Linked DNA regions of Arabidopsis thaliana. The protein of the gene in region 3 interacts with the protein of the main gene of each other region in a pairwise test. Each region holds a gene or a part of one and is shown on either strand. Other genes may lie near its edges.

Region 1 (5,658 bases), on a different chromosome or scaffold from region 3:
TATGGACAACTCTTGATGTCACTCCACACTGGTTTATAGTTATTTCTCAAAGTGGTGTTTCCCTCAAGGGAAACACATACTGGTGTGCTAGGAAGAGGAGCGGCGGTTATAGCGATCACATTATTTGTTTTGATTTTACTAGAGAGAGATTTGGACCGCTTTTGCCTTTGCCGTTTAGCTTTATTGATCGTCATCATTCATGTGTGATTTTATCTTGTGTTAGTGAAGAGAAGCTTGCAGTTTTATTTCAGTACAAGGACCACTACTATAAAAATGTAGTTGAAATATGGATTACAGCTAAGCTTGAGGCCGAAATGGTGTCGTGGAGCAAGTTCTTGAGAATAAATACGGGGCCAATTATACACACGAGTTTCTTCATTAACGAGGAAAAGAAAGTCGCCATCGGGTTTAATGACAATCGCAAAACAATCAACATCATTGGCGAGGCGGGGTACTTTAGAGAATTGGATCTTGGAGAACATGCAGAACCATATCGTAGGCGACATGTTTTCTCTTATGTTCCAAGTTCGGTCCAAATCAAGGAAACTGCACCAGGGAACATAAAAAAACATCAAAGCAGTATAGAAACACGTCTATTTGATCGAAACATGTTGAGACTTGTCGCATTTGAGAAGAAAGTATCCGAGTAACCAATATGAGGTAGATTAGCCTAATTTGTTAACAAAACAGAATATAATAAAGTCTATATTTCTTTTTCTCAAATTTGCAAAGCCTAAATTAGTGCAAAAGGTTGTATTATATCATCTAATGACGATAGAAATAGTTTTGCTGCGGTTTCTCTAAATCATGCAGAGCTAAACGATCTATAGTTTTAGTAGTTTGATGTTCCATTCTTGATCAACCTTAGCTTATTTGGACTACAAAAAAAAGCATGATATAAAATGGACATGTTGTCGAAGCCTACGGAGCCTAATTAAGATCTTGTTATATACGTGGACTTGGGTATTGGGTGTAGAATATCTAAAAGATAAGAAATATGAAAAATTTTACAGAGCAATTAAGCATTGCTTTGTTGAGCGGCTTATGATGCTGAAACATGTCATAGGGGGTCTTGGTTTCTTCGGAAAAGCAGTGAAAACAATCTTGATTGCACTTTTGATTATTGACTATTGACTCGTGCATGGTTTACCTCATTTGGTGTTTTTGAGCATGAAGAAGTTCTCAAGTTTCAACCTTTGGCTACACACAAAATTAATGCTAATAAGACCCATTTATCAGAGACTCTGTGCCGTATGGAGGTAAGCGTCTGGGTCAAGAACTATTCTATATGGGCTATATTCGGTTCATGTTAACTGAGAATTCGTATAACATATGGCCTTGTCGCCTACACTTTAGACTACTCTTAGTTTTGGTAGAGTAAGAGATGGAAAACCAAATATCATTAAGTACAAAAAGATAAACTGGTTGGTGCATTGGTGTTTAGAGATTCTTTTGAAAGGGTTCGTGTTGTAGTTAAGATGTAACCACTGGAAAAGTAAAGGCTAATAACTCCTTGAAGTTTTCAGATTCCTAAGAAAAAATTCTTGCTGTTATACAGTTAGTCATCAACCTAAAGCCATTTCTACTTTCTAGAGGATACAAGTAACAACTTCAAATCAGATTCTACGCCGTGTACTCAGACTCAGTGTAAGAAAACAAATATGAAACAAAATCAATGTATCAAAATATCACATTTGTGGATTCTGAAAATAGAAAAGAACAAAAAATAAATCCTCAAAACACTAATTCAGAAGAGAAGACTTTAGAGTCGATGGAAAAATTTGGAGAGAATAAAGAAACTTCTTGTCTCTCTAGTAACGACCAATACCCCAAACCCTGATAACTCCATCAGTGTATCCACTGAACAAAGTGTTTCCATCTGCACTCCAGTTCAAGCTTGTGCAGTAGATCACCTGCATTTTACATTCCACATTAGAACATATATAAACCACCTCAGACCAAAGAGTAACCAACAAATCAATATGGAATCACTTCAGACACTACAATCTAAGAAATCAGAGACTAGAGCTAACTTAAAACCAGGTTTCTCAATCTAATGTTAGCTACTCTCTTACGTACCAATCAAATCTTGTGAACTAACTTCACATGAGAGTATTCAGACCTTCCTTTATGAAAATCTCATCTTTTAAGGCAACGGCTAACTAATTCACAGAACTTAGAACTAGACAATTAACCATAAGATAGAGTGAGGAGAAATAGATACCTTGGTCTTGTTTCCGATTCCAGTAGAACCATCAGTCTTTTCAGCCTCAGCCTTAAGATCAACCTTCAAATCCTCAACAACAGACTTACTCTCGAGATCCCAAATCCTAATGCTATTCTCTGTTGCTGCACACAACCAGTACCTATTGGGACTGAAGCAAAGTGAATGAATAATAGAGCCAGCTTCAAGAGAATACAACTTCTTCCCTTCAGCCAAATCCCAAAGCAAGATCACACCATCTTTGCCACCACTGGCACACAACGAACCATCAGGTGACACAGCCACAGTGTTCAAGTAACCAGAGTGACCAGCAAGAGTGTTCCTAAGCTTACAATTCTGAAGATTCCAGACCTTCACAGTTTTATCCCAAGAAGCAGATACAATAGTTGGCACAAGAGTATTAGGACTAAACCTAACACAACTAACCCATTCCTTGTGACCATCAGCTTCAGAGATGGTATACTTACACTCACCAAGCGTGTTCCAAAGCTTAATCGTACGATCACGAGAAGCAGAGACGATCTGACGGTTATCGGTAGAGAAAGCAACAGAGAGAACATCTTTCGTGTGACCAACGAAACGACGAGTAGATTCTCCGGTAGCGAGATCCCAGAGACGAAGCTCACCGTCCCAAGATCCGGAGAGAGCGAATTGTCCATCGGAGGAGAGAACAACGTCTTGAACGAAGTGAGAGTGACCAGTCATCCTCCGCTGAGCAACACCGTATGACTTGTCTTCCTTTGTGAGTTTCCAGAGGATGATTGATTTGTCACGCGACGAAGTTACAATCACGTCGGAGTTATCGACCGGTGTAGCAATGGCGGTGACCATATCAGTGTGGGCACACATTGTGCCTTTCAACACGAGTCCTTCAGCCATGGTTCAGGGTTTGAGGTCGAGATTTAGGGTTTCGGCGACAAAAATGGGAGAGGGCAAAATGGAGGTAACGAGAAACCGAGAGTATTTATAGTTAGAGATAATTAGGGTTCTTTGTTTTCATTTGTCAATAGTTTGGGTCTCTTCATTTGGGCCAGCATTAAGGCCCGGTATTCTACCCAACTTGGTTTCATGTTGGGACAATTATGGAACCGAGATTTATATCTTTCTGTTTGGAACGCTTAACCAGAATTGGTATAGCTTGTTACAAGTCAATTTGATAACCACATGAGTACATGACATGACAACTTTTTTTTCTCTCTTTTGGGCAAACCCCATGAGAACTCTACCGAGAAGTTATTGTCAAAAATTGAAATAGACTCAAAAGTCGGTTCAATTAAAGTAAACAAACCGAGTTTGGCCATTTCAACTTTTATTGTAAGAACTAAGAACACAACTTCGACTGTCCCTGTGGAAGATATAATTTTACATGTCCGAATTCCGGAGAAGAAAAAGATGAAGTGATTGATTAAATTGAAATCGATCACATCAACCATCTCTTTCTCTCGCCTGCAAAGTTATCTCCTTTTCAAACCGAACGAATCAATTCGGGAATCTTCATCTTTCTACGTGTTTTCTCAGCTATGTATCTCTGGGTTCGACTTCAGTAAAAGCTTCACCAGCCATGGATTTCGTTAGGTTCTTGTTCGCTTCATCTTTCTTTGTAATTGCTTACTGTTTTCGTGAAAATTCGAAATTTAGTGTTTTGCGTTCTCTATCTCTCTCTCTCTAGCACACTAATTCCAATTCCTTAGGAAGGGTTTTTGGTGAATAAAGTTAGGGTTTTTAATTGATTCAATACCTTGTGGAATAAATTAGGGGTTTTTGGAGGAAGCATAGAAGGAAGGTCTTGGTGACGGCTGGTTGTTTGGGAAGTGGGTATTTACTCTACAAACTATACAATTCCCATACTCGTAGGCTTGCTGATTTGGAACGAGAACTCGCTCACGAGCGTGAAAATGACGAAATCATCAAAACCCAGTTAAGTTCTGTGCTCATAAAAACTGATCCTTTAGACTTCAGTTCTTATGGATTCTCTAACGGACCTGTCTTGTTTGTACTCTTGTTTAGAATGAAAGCACATTTCGAGAGTATTCAGATGATTGTGGATTCGACCACACTGCCTCACGCAATGCAGTTTTTGAGTATCCGTATCAGCGAGGAGATCGATGTCTCTCATGTTATGGACAGACTGAACCAAGGGAAAGGAATGCTGAGTCCACCTGAGAAACTTCAGCTCTGGGATGAGCTCAAGATTTTGAGTATGCACTGCAGTCACCTACTCTTACTCTATCAAATTCTGTTTCTTACCTGTATATTCATGTTATTTGCCAGGTTTCACGAGGATGGTTTTGTCTCTGTGGTCTGTGACAATGCTTAGCTTATACATTAGGGTTCAAGTCAACATTTTAGGCAGACATTTGTATGTTGACACCGCTCGAGCTCTTGGCAGCTCTCATTTACTTGTAAGATAATATGCTTCCCCTCTTCTCTGTATTGGAGAATTTGCTGTTTATTAAACGATACTGCACATGTTCTTTACTGCTCTCATTTGCTCGCAAGTATGATTCAGTGTACTTTGCTTATCTCATCCCCAACAAGCTATTTCTCGGGGAAACTCACTGGTTGTTCTGTTAAGAACTTGTATAATTATGTCTCTAGTAGCTGTGTTTAATTGCGATAACGATTATGCATTTGACCTATCTGTGGACTAATACTCTGGAATCACCTATCTTTCTTTGATATAGTTCCAGATTACCTTTTAAAGCCACGGCCGCTTGTCCTGTGATCTGCTTGCCCTGTGAGCTTTCAACAGTGTATCTATTAAATTTGTTTCTTTTTGTTTGCAGGAAGAGGTAGATCTCATTGATAGAGATGATGAACAGAAGTTTTTGTCGAGTGCTGATTTTCTTGTCACCAATGCAATGCCAAGTTTGATTTCAGATATGCAGGGTTCAGCCGAGGAAGTCCTTAAAGGGTACATTGCAAAAATTCGTATCTAGATCGTTTATAATTTGACTATTGTTGGAAAAACTCTAATATGTTTTTGTGTGTTTAATTGCAGAAAGCAGTTAAAGGATGTAATTACCACAAGAGTTCTTCAAGAAACCGTGATGCAGATTGTAGATGTGTTTATGAGCACTGGAAGCCCACATCACTGGGTTGATTATTTAATGATGCCTCAAGACACAAAGCTTTCAAGAACCACAAGTGACTCTTCTGATGAAGCTGTGTCCAAGTTTCATCAACTCATGGTTGAGACTCGAGAAGTACTCATCAGGTAAGTAATGTCTATCTGCTAAGATAAACACACAATTTTTCCTCTTTCTTACACTCTTGGATGATTGTGGGGAATAAACTTATCTCTTGGTGTCTTTCTTGTTGCAGCACTGAATTCACAAATATAGTCGAAATTTCGCTCAAGTGCTTCACGGATGTGTTGGTAGAGGAAATGGAAACGCAGACTGAAGCAGGCGGTTTGGCTACAGGGAAACCAT
Region 2 (5,658 bases), on a different chromosome or scaffold from region 3:
ATCTCGTAGAGATGATCATATTATACCAATATACTTATATACTTATTTATGATTTCAATAACATATGTCAAAAAGAAAATGACATGTATATGTAAAAAAAAACATATGTCAATTTACTTGTGTTTAGCAAAGGCATGTAACACGTATTAATATTGAAAAGTAATCAGAGAGTCTAACGGTTTAGGGTCTATCCATTTTCACTTTAAAGACATTTAAAAGTTTGTAAACAGCCTTGTAAACTTATGAAAAATCAAATAAGAGGGATGCAATAGTTTTGCAGAGTTCTAAATTTTAACTGTGGAGTCAGTCTCTTATCATCCGTACACCAACTTGGTTAAAATCACTATCACAACTACCCCTTGAAACTATTATGAATTTCGTTTGTACATGCAAGTGTCTACAATGATTTAATGGGGAGGTTGTTGGTTCAAACTTTCAAATCAATCGTTTTTTTTTCCTGATTTACTTTGTGTTTAAATTTTACTTTTACTTAAGTTACATTTTCTTAATGCTTAGTTTAATTTTCTAAAAGGGAAAAACTATGATTTATACGCGGATACGAGGGAGTGGGATGCATTAAACAAAATTCAAATTTGACGTCAATTAAGCAAATTAAAACAATAATCTGTTTCACCTTTTTGTGACAAGTGGACGTCTTCTTTCTCATCCAAGTTAGCCATCTATTTCTCCTAAACACATTGTTAATTAGTTTCATTATTAGTGACGAAATCAAGACGCCGTAACCGATAATTCTAACATAATCCCTTTTATAATAAGAAGGATACAATTTCAAAGAACATACTAATATTTACAATATTATTTAAGATTGTATTATTGAACAAGTTGTCATTCCTGTGTTTGGTCAACTATGGCCTTTGGGATACTCAGAAGGATTCCATACCCAATTATTTAATTCGATACCCTTCTTCTACATGATTCAATCAATCCTTTTAAAAAATTGAATCTGTATTTTTTTTCTTCCTTCGTCACCTGCTGGAATATTAATATCATATAATTAGTAATAAATCATTAAGTTTTGTCAATGTTACACATTTAGACCCTACAACTTTATTTAATTTTATCTATCAAGCTAACAAAATAAGGTACTAACCAGTTAATGAAATTAAAATTGAGGATATACATATAGTTTAGTAAAAAACTTTGATCGATACCTTATCTGAATTGAAACTATTCTGATCTATCCTAACAATATTAAAAATGGTTTACATGCGCTATCATCATTTTTTCTACTAAAGGATTTAACGCTTATTGTAAAGGCCTTTTTTTTTTTTTTACTCTGATGGTTTGTCAGAAGATTATTCGTTAATGAATTATACGTTTGTTATAAACTGTAAATCTTCATTTTGAATGTAAAACTCAAAAATTAAAATTGAAGCAAAAGGTAGTTTCCTTGTTCGTGCTAACTGCTAATGTCGATTAAGATTCATCCTCTTGAAATGACCGAGTCAACGCTGAGGGAGAATCTCACGTGGTCCTACCAACTATCACGTGCCAAAAATCTGGGCCCTGAGATATACCTATAAGCAAAAGCCAGCTCCGCCCAAAACATTTGATCCATCCATTTTCATTTTTATTTTCCAATTTTGAAGTTAGGGTTTATTTTTATAAGTTTCCATTAATTTATTTTCTTATTCCTTTTCGGAGGATGTGTTTATTAATTTAATTTCAATAGAAGATAATATATTTGGGTTCACCACTCGTTCTCTTTTTCTTTTTGGATGGGACTCTTCATTGTGACTTTTTTGTTCTCGCTCTTCCACAATCTTTGGATGTGTACAAAATAATCGATTGTTGGGGATATTATAGTAAATTTAGCAATATGAAACTAGCAACGAAGAAAGTGTTTATTGATGGGTTCAAAATTTCATCGATCTGCATATCAATAACTCGGAAAGAGATGGATCATGACACATAGTATACAATAAATTTTATAAATTTCGAAAATTAACTAATTGAGGATAGAAATTCATCAATTACTTAATAAATAAATAAAAAACTGATTCAAATGTATGTTTTACTTCTGTAACATACAATTTCTTGCTTTTCTTGAAAATTGACTCGTTTTTTATATTGGATATTTTACATAGACTTTGAGACTTATTAATAAAACTAACTAACCATCTCTTACAAATTGTTGGAATAAATTATTTTTATTTTTCTGTTGGCTCTATAAAATGAAAATGACCTTTGTTCTTCTTCTTTATACTCCTATATATGTTTTCTCCAGAGAGAAAGAGAACCATTGAAGTTGCGAGACTTCCAATTATATATATAGTTCATGAAAGTCCTGTGACCATGCTCTTTATTTATTTTATTTCACTATACGTTAAATAAATGGAAAGTAGGGTAATAATCATATTGCAGCATGATTCATTTTAGTGGCGTCTAAGAAGCATTCATTTTGAGCCATTAAATCTCAAGGTAGACTTTCCCATTAACACAAAAGAAGAAAAAATTGGTACGTAATCATACCAACATCTACAAATCTTTGGTTTCAATTTTGTAACAAAGACCTAGATTGTTGACAAACAAAAAGCAAATACCTAAAAGGACTTTTATTGACTTCTATAAAGATGTTTTGATTGAAATTTCATATAATTTAATAGTTTCCTCAAACTATATGCAATAAAATTATAATTTGATAATTACATGTGAAAGAAAACATGACTCTCAAATTAATATGAGTCGATTATCAATAAATTTTTGTGATATGGCTGTGCTGCAGAACAACTGAATGGGCCTAGAAGTAAAGTTGATATTGAGCAAACAAAAAACGAAATAGATTTTTTTTTTCTTTTGGGCAAACTCAAAAAACGAAATAGATATGCCTCGACAATACTACAAAATCTCAAATGAACAATATTGATGAAAATGCGTTTGTAACACAGAAATCAATTATTTTGAATTATTTTCCATATATAGTACAGACGTAAAAAACATACTGTATTATCTTTCATGGAAGTAAAATAATTTTCCAAGAAATAGAACAAATGTAAAACAGGTGGTGGCTAAAACTGGTGCTTTTAATGGCTAATGCCATTGAATCACTGACAAAATGACCGATGACTTCAACTTAAAAGTTCAAGCCCACAGTTCCAAAGGTAGAGGAAGTGGTAAAATTTAGGTATGGTCTCTTTCTCTCTCTCTCAATTTTCTCTTTCTACAAATATATACTACAGTTACAGTAGTAGTTATTATTATTAATTATTCTCTCCCCAATCAAACAACACTCATCAGAGTCACACATGTGTCACTTTTTTCTTCAATATTTTAGTTTTATGAATAAAAAATCAAAATAAAACAATAAAAACTTTTTTAACTTGGCTAGTTTCCCAGTATAAATAGATGTATCAACGAACACATTTAAGACCACAAAAGAAACCAAGAGCTCTCAAACAAAACAGCCTTTTACATAAGAACAAACACCCCCAAAAACTGCAAAAAAAAGAGAGAGATCATTAATCCATCTTCAAGATGTCTCTTCCTGAAACTAAATCTGATGATATCCTTCTTGATGCTTGGGACTTCCAAGGCCGTCCCGCCGATCGCTCAAAAACCGGCGGCTGGGCCAGCGCCGCCATGATTCTTTGTAAGTATAATCACATAATAAAAGTTCTAGAGAAAAGCTACCAACAATATACATGCTGAAGACAAGAATTGAAACTTTTTAATGGCATTTACTAAGTTATAAGTTTCTTATGGCTATCATTCTTATTCTTTTATGTATTCTCGATGTATCCAACTTTATCATTAACAAAATTTTATTGTGTGAAGGTATTGAGGCCGTGGAGAGGCTGACGACGTTAGGTATCGGAGTTAATCTGGTGACGTATTTGACGGGAACTATGCATTTAGGCAATGCAACTGCGGCTAACACCGTTACCAATTTCCTCGGAACTTCTTTCATGCTCTGTCTCCTCGGTGGCTTCATCGCCGATACCTTTCTCGGCAGGTTTGTCTATAAATATATTTATATTTACTTAACTAAAATCATTCAGATTCTTTTTAAAATATTAATTTGAGTTCATTCATTTTGTTTTGTATAGGTACCTAACGATTGCTATATTCGCCGCAATCCAAGCCACGGTAAGGACCTCAAAAGTCCCTTTCTCCTTACCAAAACTTATACCCAAGAAAACGAAGAAAATAAAAATATTGTCTAGTCAATAAACAAATCGAAATAGTAAACAGCATAAGTCGTTATTTTTGTTATAGTTTTCCGAAAAATAATATCCGTGTTATGAACTATGATGCTATCAGGGTGTTTCAATCTTAACTCTATCAACAATCATACCGGGACTTCGACCACCAAGATGCAATCCAACAACGTCGTCTCACTGCGAACAAGCAAGTGGAATACAACTGACGGTCCTATACTTAGCCTTATACCTCACCGCTCTAGGAACGGGAGGCGTGAAGGCTAGTGTCTCGGGTTTCGGGTCGGACCAATTCGATGAGACCGAACCAAAAGAACGATCGAAAATGACATATTTCTTCAACCGTTTCTTCTTTTGTATCAACGTTGGCTCTCTTTTAGCTGTGACGGTCCTTGTCTACGTACAAGACGATGTTGGACGCAAATGGGGCTATGGAATTTGCGCGTTTGCGATCGTGCTTGCACTCAGCGTTTTCTTGGCCGGAACAAACCGCTACCGTTTCAAGAAGTTGATCGGTAGCCCGATGACGCAGGTTGCTGCGGTTATCGTGGCGGCGTGGAGGAATAGGAAGCTCGAGCTGCCGGCAGATCCGTCCTATCTCTACGATGTGGATGATATTATTGCGGCGGAAGGTTCGATGAAGGGTAAACAAAAGCTGCCACACACTGAACAATTCCGGTACGATTCTTTTAATTAACTCATCATTTGCTTTCCACGTACGATCCTCAAAACTTACAATGATTTAAATTTTAAGATAAAAGTTTTAAAATTTTTCTTTTTCTTTTCCATTTAAGGGTTAATTGAAATAATTGAGGTACTGGTTCCCTTAATTAAATGTGATAGTATCAGTAGACTTTAAAAATGTGAAATTAAAAGTGGGGTTGTGTGGGTGAGAAATAACTCGAAATGCTCGTGTCCTTTAATTATAGTGGGACCGTAAATATTTCTCATTATATGCCTACTTGGCATTAGAAATCATTTTTTTTTGACAGCCATTATAAATTAATTAAAAGGTGTTGAATATCTTTCTTTGTCTTTTGTTACGGGGAAAATAAATTATTTTCATAATATTATTACTCGACCATACAGCGAAACTGGTCCAGGATACGAATTATACAGCTAATTACAACATTTTTGGATTTTTGGGTTCAAAGTCCCTACTTTGGCATTTTATATTGTATATTTTTTCCTTAAAATCCTATGTGTGTGTGCATGTGTATATCTTTGTTAGATAACACGTTAAGTTCGGTTCATAGAATAGGTAGGAAAATAAAAGTAGTCTCTCGGAATTAGTCGGAAAGATAAAGTAATTCAGATAAACAAATGAATAAGTATATGCAAGTGATATCAAGTGGGGTAAAATTCTCCATCTTTACTTTTTGCCTATAAAAAATTTCACACCCACTCGTAGAATATTTGGTTTTTACAGAAAGAGTATCTTCATCATTGCGGAAAATTAAATACACCAATTTGCTATTTT
Region 3 (5,658 bases):
GAGAAAACGAAGAGTTTATGAGAGATTTACTTACATCTTCACCAAAATCAAACCGGGTTTGAATCAAAATTCTGCTCTTTCTTATAAATAGTCTTTGTCTGGTCAAAATGATTGCATCGAAACGAATGAGTTTAAAACTCTTATCCAAACATTGCGACGATTCGGGTCACGTTTCTTAAAGTCGCAAATCCTTGCGAAGGTTTTTATAAACAAAAGGTTGGGTTTTGAAAGAAAGATATTGGAGAGGGTTTAAGAGCGAGATATTCGGAAATTGAGAGGTTTTGTTTCTTCGATTGTACGAAGAAGAAGAAGAAGAAGAGAGGAAGAGAGAAACAAATAAAACAGAACAAAGATCCTTTCCTTCTTCTTTTGTCTTTTTCTTCTCTCTTGTTTTTTTATTTATTAAAAAACTAATTTTGAAATAGTCAAACATTTGTTTGCACTTACTTAGTCAACATGAATATTCTAATCCCACTTTTATTTCAATAATCATATGTTGATTTGTCTTTCTTTAATGTATTTTTACTTTTCTTCTCTTGATTTGAGATAAACGACATTATACTACATCTTAATTTAAGAAAAATTGATCTTTCCCATTATTTTTTTTTGTTTTTCCACGTTTTGATTTGGTCATTGTTTGTTTTAGTTATTTGCCTATTGATAGATGAACAAATTCTAGTCTTTTTTGTGTGAGTCAATATCGATATATGTTACCCACCTATTCACTAAACAATTAGGAACAAGGTGATAACTCAGGGTACAAATGGACAAATTGTTTTTAAAAATTCCCTATTGTTTTTAATTTGGTTTAATGTCATCTAATTATTCATTTACACACTAACAGTAAATTTGAATATAAAAAAAAAATATTGTTTTCAGGTGGTGGGAACACGATTTTGTCAATTTCCCTTTTGAGCTCAATACATTACCTCACGTGTGCTAAAATGTCTTTACCCTTGTCACTAACGTAATTCACCAACAACAACAAAATCATCGGATTTAGTTATAAAGATGATATATATATATATATCAAAAACGGTATATATAAATAAATCTTCCCCAACTATTCATTCAAACCCTAGATTGCTCGCTAAACAACTTTCTGTTGTAACCAGTTTTGGGATTATACAAATAAGAAACTAAGAGAACCACAAAAGAGATCAAATATGAATTGATTAGAAGCCCCAAACAAAGAGTAGAAAGGTTTGAATATGCGATGATGGGATGTGACCAAATAACACATTTTCTCCGGTTAAGGGATTCAATGTCTGTATAGTACAGACATGTTGAATGATGATGATGGCATTTGTTGTTGGATTCCACATTCCAAATACTCTGATTCGCATTATACACAGACCTTTTTCTTTGTTTTCTCAAGTTTTTTCATTGGTCTCCATTGATTCCAAATATGCGGACCTTGTGCATGTGCGGGAATTTCGCAACCACCATGACAAATACAGCCAGTGTGTTGAGAAAGAGCATCGGGTGCTGATAGTCTGTTGTGTGAGAGGCTATCAAGTACCTACATACAAAGTTTGGTCAGACTTTTATGTCACAAAGATCCAATCATTGATTACATATTCGTCACACACAACACAATTGAGGTATTCCACTACACATAATCTAGTAGTGCTTCTTTTAAGAGAGATTCAGCAAACTCATAACAGACCTTATGTCTTGTACGAATGTCTAAATCTAAATCTAAATCCAAGGCTCTTGAGCACTAGCTAAAAGACCTTAATAATCAAGCGAGTTTAATCATAGTAGGAAACTTAGGTCCAACCCTAATCAGTGAACAGATTTGAAGCACTAGTCAACAAACAGAAATCAAAATGAGAAGAACGGTAGTGTCTTGACTCTTGTGTATCTGATTGTCATGTCAAAATGTATTCTGTGTAGTAATAATTGCAAATCAAATTGTCAAAACAACCACTTCACCTAGGAATAGAATTGTAATTAAGCTCATTGACTAGCATCTCTATATAACCAGATGTAAAATGAGCTACAATAAGATAAAGAACAAGTAGGTAGGGAAACGAAGATCAATGTATCTCTAAAACATAACTTAAGCAAAAATTACACCAAATACAGAAACAATCATAGAAAATAAGGTAAGGCATTCAATTTTTCGATACTGAACAAGATCAACAAGAGATGATGATGCAAAACAAAATCCTAATGAGATATGAGAGAAGGAACTTACAAGACAACAGGAACAACGGTGAGAAATTTGCGATTACGTGTAAGCTGCTTGCCATTATCAATCTGTTCCCACCAAGTCAATCTATTATAGACTCCTTGATCATCTCCAAATGGTGTTCCCTTCTTCCAATGGAAGGAATGATACGTGACCTAGAAAACAAAAAAACTCAAAAATTCAAATCTAGAAACCAACAATTTCGAAATTGGATCGGAGGAGATCGGGAATAATACGGTGAAATGAGCGAGATGAACAATGGTCCAAGCGATGCCAGGAGAACAATGGAAGACGGAGAGAACGAGGAGCCAAGAGAAGAAGAGGATGAGAATATAAGTAGTCCAAACACCAGGATATGTGAACCACTCTGTGTTCCGATTCACATCCGTCGTCGGAAGTGCTCTTACGTACATCGTCTTTTTCACCGGAGGGATTTGGAAGAAGATCGGAGATGATGATTGATGAATCGTCGTTGAGCAAGTTTTCTTTCTTCTTTGTTTTTTTTTTCTCTGCTGCGTTCTTTGGGCTCTTTCTGGGCTTTTTATTTTCTACAATTTTTTTAAAAAGAAGCATTAAATTAAAATAGGAAGGTGGTTGGGTGGCTCACCGATCTTAGCCTAAAACAATGATTATCAGTAACTCTGTCTCAAGACTCTCAACGCGTCACTCGATAAACCACGACGACTCATATTTTTAATTTATTGGACTTTTCTTGTCAGCTTACATAGAGGCCCATTACAAAACACACCGGTTTTCCGACCCGACCCGTACCTTTTCATCCGATAATTTAATTTACATTTTCAAAATATGTTCTGAAGTTAATTCTTGACCATATTAGTAAGAGTTATTTCATTTTATTTTTGAACAAATTTTAGCTGCCAAATTTCGAAATCCTTTTTTTTTTGCTACCAAATTTTCCATCCAGTGCTTCCGTGAAAAATATTTCGAATAAAATACCATTTTAAAAAACATCTTCGAATAAATATCTAAAATTATCAGTTTTTTGTTCTTCTCATATTTTCAACTTGATGAGGATTAGATTTAGATTCACCTAATGATTACAATAAACACGATTAAGCCTCGTTGGTTTTTTAAGACAAACTTACAATTTTTTTGTTTTTTCTTTTCTTCATCACACACTCTGTCTCACCAACTTATTCAATAAAAGCAATTGGACTTTTAACACAAAATATATTATTCAACGACAAAATGATTTCGTATTAATGCTATACTATCCAAGGTTCATTAAATTTGAACTAGCTATATCTTTTTATTAAACTTATAGAATTTAGATTCCACAATTTCTTGATTTCCATGCACAGAAAAAAAACTTTAAATAGATTACTATTCCCTCTAATTAAAATATAAGATGTTATAAAAGTTTATCTTTTAAATATTAAAAAATATTTTGTTAGTTTCTATGAAAATTAAATGTATTTGATAATTTGTGATCATTTATATTCTGCAGTTTTTTCTTATGATTAGTTAAAATTTTTAATTCTATAAATAATATTTTTTAGAAAGAATGATCTTAATATGTGTGATTGTTTTAAACATTTTATATTTTGAAACAAAGGAAATAACATCGTATTTCTGAGGATTTACATAATGTTTTTTTTTTGGTGCACCTAGCATAATGTTTTATTAGTAGAAATTATTCATAACCTGAAACATGTAATTGCATAAATGGCCTAAAGTCAGCTGAAATAAAATGAAAACAGAGGATACATAATTAGTAGAATAATCTCAAATATAAGAGAAAGTGCGTTAGTTGATAAAGACAGATAATTTGACTTTCCGATTTATTTGGCCGCCAACCTTTTTTTGTTTTGTTCTTCCTAAATTCCCTTTCTCCGAAATTCCTTTCATTGATTTCATCATCATCATCATCCTTCGTTTTTTCTCTATCGATCTAGCAGATTCTTTCGGGGACCAAAATCAAAATCATGGTGGATCATCAATGGAAGGATTTAATCGGATAAAAGAGAAGAGACGGAATCACGACGGGAGAAGAGATCGGGAAATCGGAAAATCGGAGATGATGGGGATTTCTTTCGCCGCCAAACTCCGTTTCCGATCTCGATTTCGAACTTCTTCAATCGATTCTTATTGCTTCGCTCGTGAGGCTTTCTCCGATTGTATCTCCTCCGTCCATTTCTTCTTCTTATAACCTTTTTCTTTGTAATAACCTCCGTCCTCTTCAGCTTTCTTTCTTTTCATCTTCAATCTCACCTTAAATTCTCCACTTTTTTCTTCTTCTCCTTCTGTTCTCGATTGCTTTGTTTGTTGTGTTGTGCATACATATATGGCTTCTGGTTCTGGATTTTTAGGTCAGATATCGTCCATGGAAGAGGCTGATTTTGCCGAGAAAGATCCTTCTGGCCGTTACATCAGGGTACGTCACTGTCTTCGTTGATTCATGTGTGAATTTGCATTCAATCTCGTTTGGTTGAGTGTTTTTTATTGTTGAATTATGAGGAAATTGATCAGAATTTGAGAATTTTGACCTAGTTTAATGAGTTCTCTTTGTAGTTCTACCTAATGAGGGCTGTTACTTTGATCGTATGGTGATGATTATTGGTTTATAGCAATGTGTGTTTTGTTCATTGTTACGTGTTTTCGACTTTTAAGCTATGTACAATTGTACATTTGGAACAATCAAGCTTAAGATCATGTTGTATTGCTGATTTTTTCGAGTTTGTATGGTGGAAAACATATAGTGATTGATCGATTCGTTTTTTTTTTGTTGTTGTTGTTTAGTATGATGATGTTCTGGGGAGAGGAGCTTTCAAGACTGTGTATGTTTTCTACACCCTATTATGCTTTTATGTTTTTAGTTGTAAAGGAAAGTGATTCTGATTTGTTTATTAACTCTTGTATAGATATAAGGCGTTTGACGAAGTAGACGGGATTGAAGTTGCTTGGAACCTAGTTAGCATTGAAGATGTAATGCAGATGCCTGGTCAACTTGAAAGGCTATATTCTGAAGTTCATCTACTAAAGGCTCTAAAACATGAAAACATCATCAAACTCTTTTACTCTTGGGTTGACGAAAAGAACAAGACTATTAACATGATCACTGAGCTTTTCACCTCTGGTAGTCTCAGGGTGTAAGTATCTCCCCCACTTCTCTTTTGTATTGATGATCCTTCATTCTTTTTTTTTTTCCTGTGCATCACATGGGTTGACACCATTTCATTTGATGTGAAGATATCGTAAGAAGCATAGGAAGGTTGATCCCAAGGCCATCAAGAACTGGGCAAGGCAGATTCTCAAAGGCCTGAACTATTTGCATTCTCAGAACCCTCCGGTAATTCACCGGGATCTGAAGTGTGACAATATATTTGTCAATGGAAATACTGGAGAGGTCAAAATCGGAGATCTCGGGCTCGCAACTGTACTGCAGCAGCCCACTGCTCGAAGTGTGATAGGTAATACACCATAAACCATTTTCCTTCCTA

Evidence for each region.
Region 1: the proteins of WNK8 (region 3) and RACK1B_AT interact in a two-hybrid assay, tested with the Arabidopsis thaliana proteins (one large-scale study listed by BioGRID).
Region 2: the proteins of WNK8 (region 3) and NRT1.1 interact in a protein complementation assay, tested with the Arabidopsis thaliana proteins (one large-scale study listed by BioGRID).

What each region holds. Positions count from the first base shown.
Region 1 is NC_003070.9:17,980,166-17,985,823, forward strand, and holds RACK1B_AT (receptor for activated C kinase 1B), read right to left. Parts: upstream 3,213-5,658; 5' UTR 3,104-3,212; coding exon 2,225-3,103; intron 1,914-2,224; coding exon 1,812-1,913; 3' UTR 1,471-1,811; downstream 1-1,470. Other genes in the region: PEX3 (peroxin 3), read left to right, coding at 3,786-3,799, 3,980-4,141, 4,232-4,422, 4,496-4,626, 4,734-4,804, 4,909-4,945, 5,011-5,138, 5,226-5,441 and 1 more.
Region 2 is NC_003070.9:4,101,846-4,107,503, forward strand, and holds the start of NRT1.1 (nitrate transporter 1.1), read left to right. Parts: upstream 1-3,377; 5' UTR 3,378-3,495; coding exon 3,496-3,610; intron 3,611-3,795; coding exon 3,796-3,973; intron 3,974-4,067; coding exon 4,068-4,107; intron 4,108-4,281; coding exon 4,282-4,856; intron 4,857-5,658. UniProt on the Arabidopsis thaliana protein: Dual affinity nitrate transporter. Involved in proton-dependent nitrate uptake and in the regulation of the nitrate transporter NRT2.1.
Region 3 is NC_003076.8:16,796,407-16,802,064, reverse strand, and holds the start of WNK8 (with no lysine (K) kinase 8), read left to right. Parts: upstream 1-4,058; 5' UTR 4,059-4,502; coding exon 4,503-4,592; intron 4,593-4,957; coding exon 4,958-4,995; intron 4,996-5,079; coding exon 5,080-5,307; intron 5,308-5,407; coding exon 5,408-5,628; intron 5,629-5,658. Other genes in the region: AT5G42000 (ORMDL family protein), read right to left, coding at 1,384-1,522, 2,204-2,352, 2,434-2,610. UniProt on the Arabidopsis thaliana protein: Regulates flowering time by modulating the photoperiod pathway. Phosphorylates the vacuolar ATPase subunit C (VATC) and RGS1. Regulates EDM2 that, in turn, modulates development processes.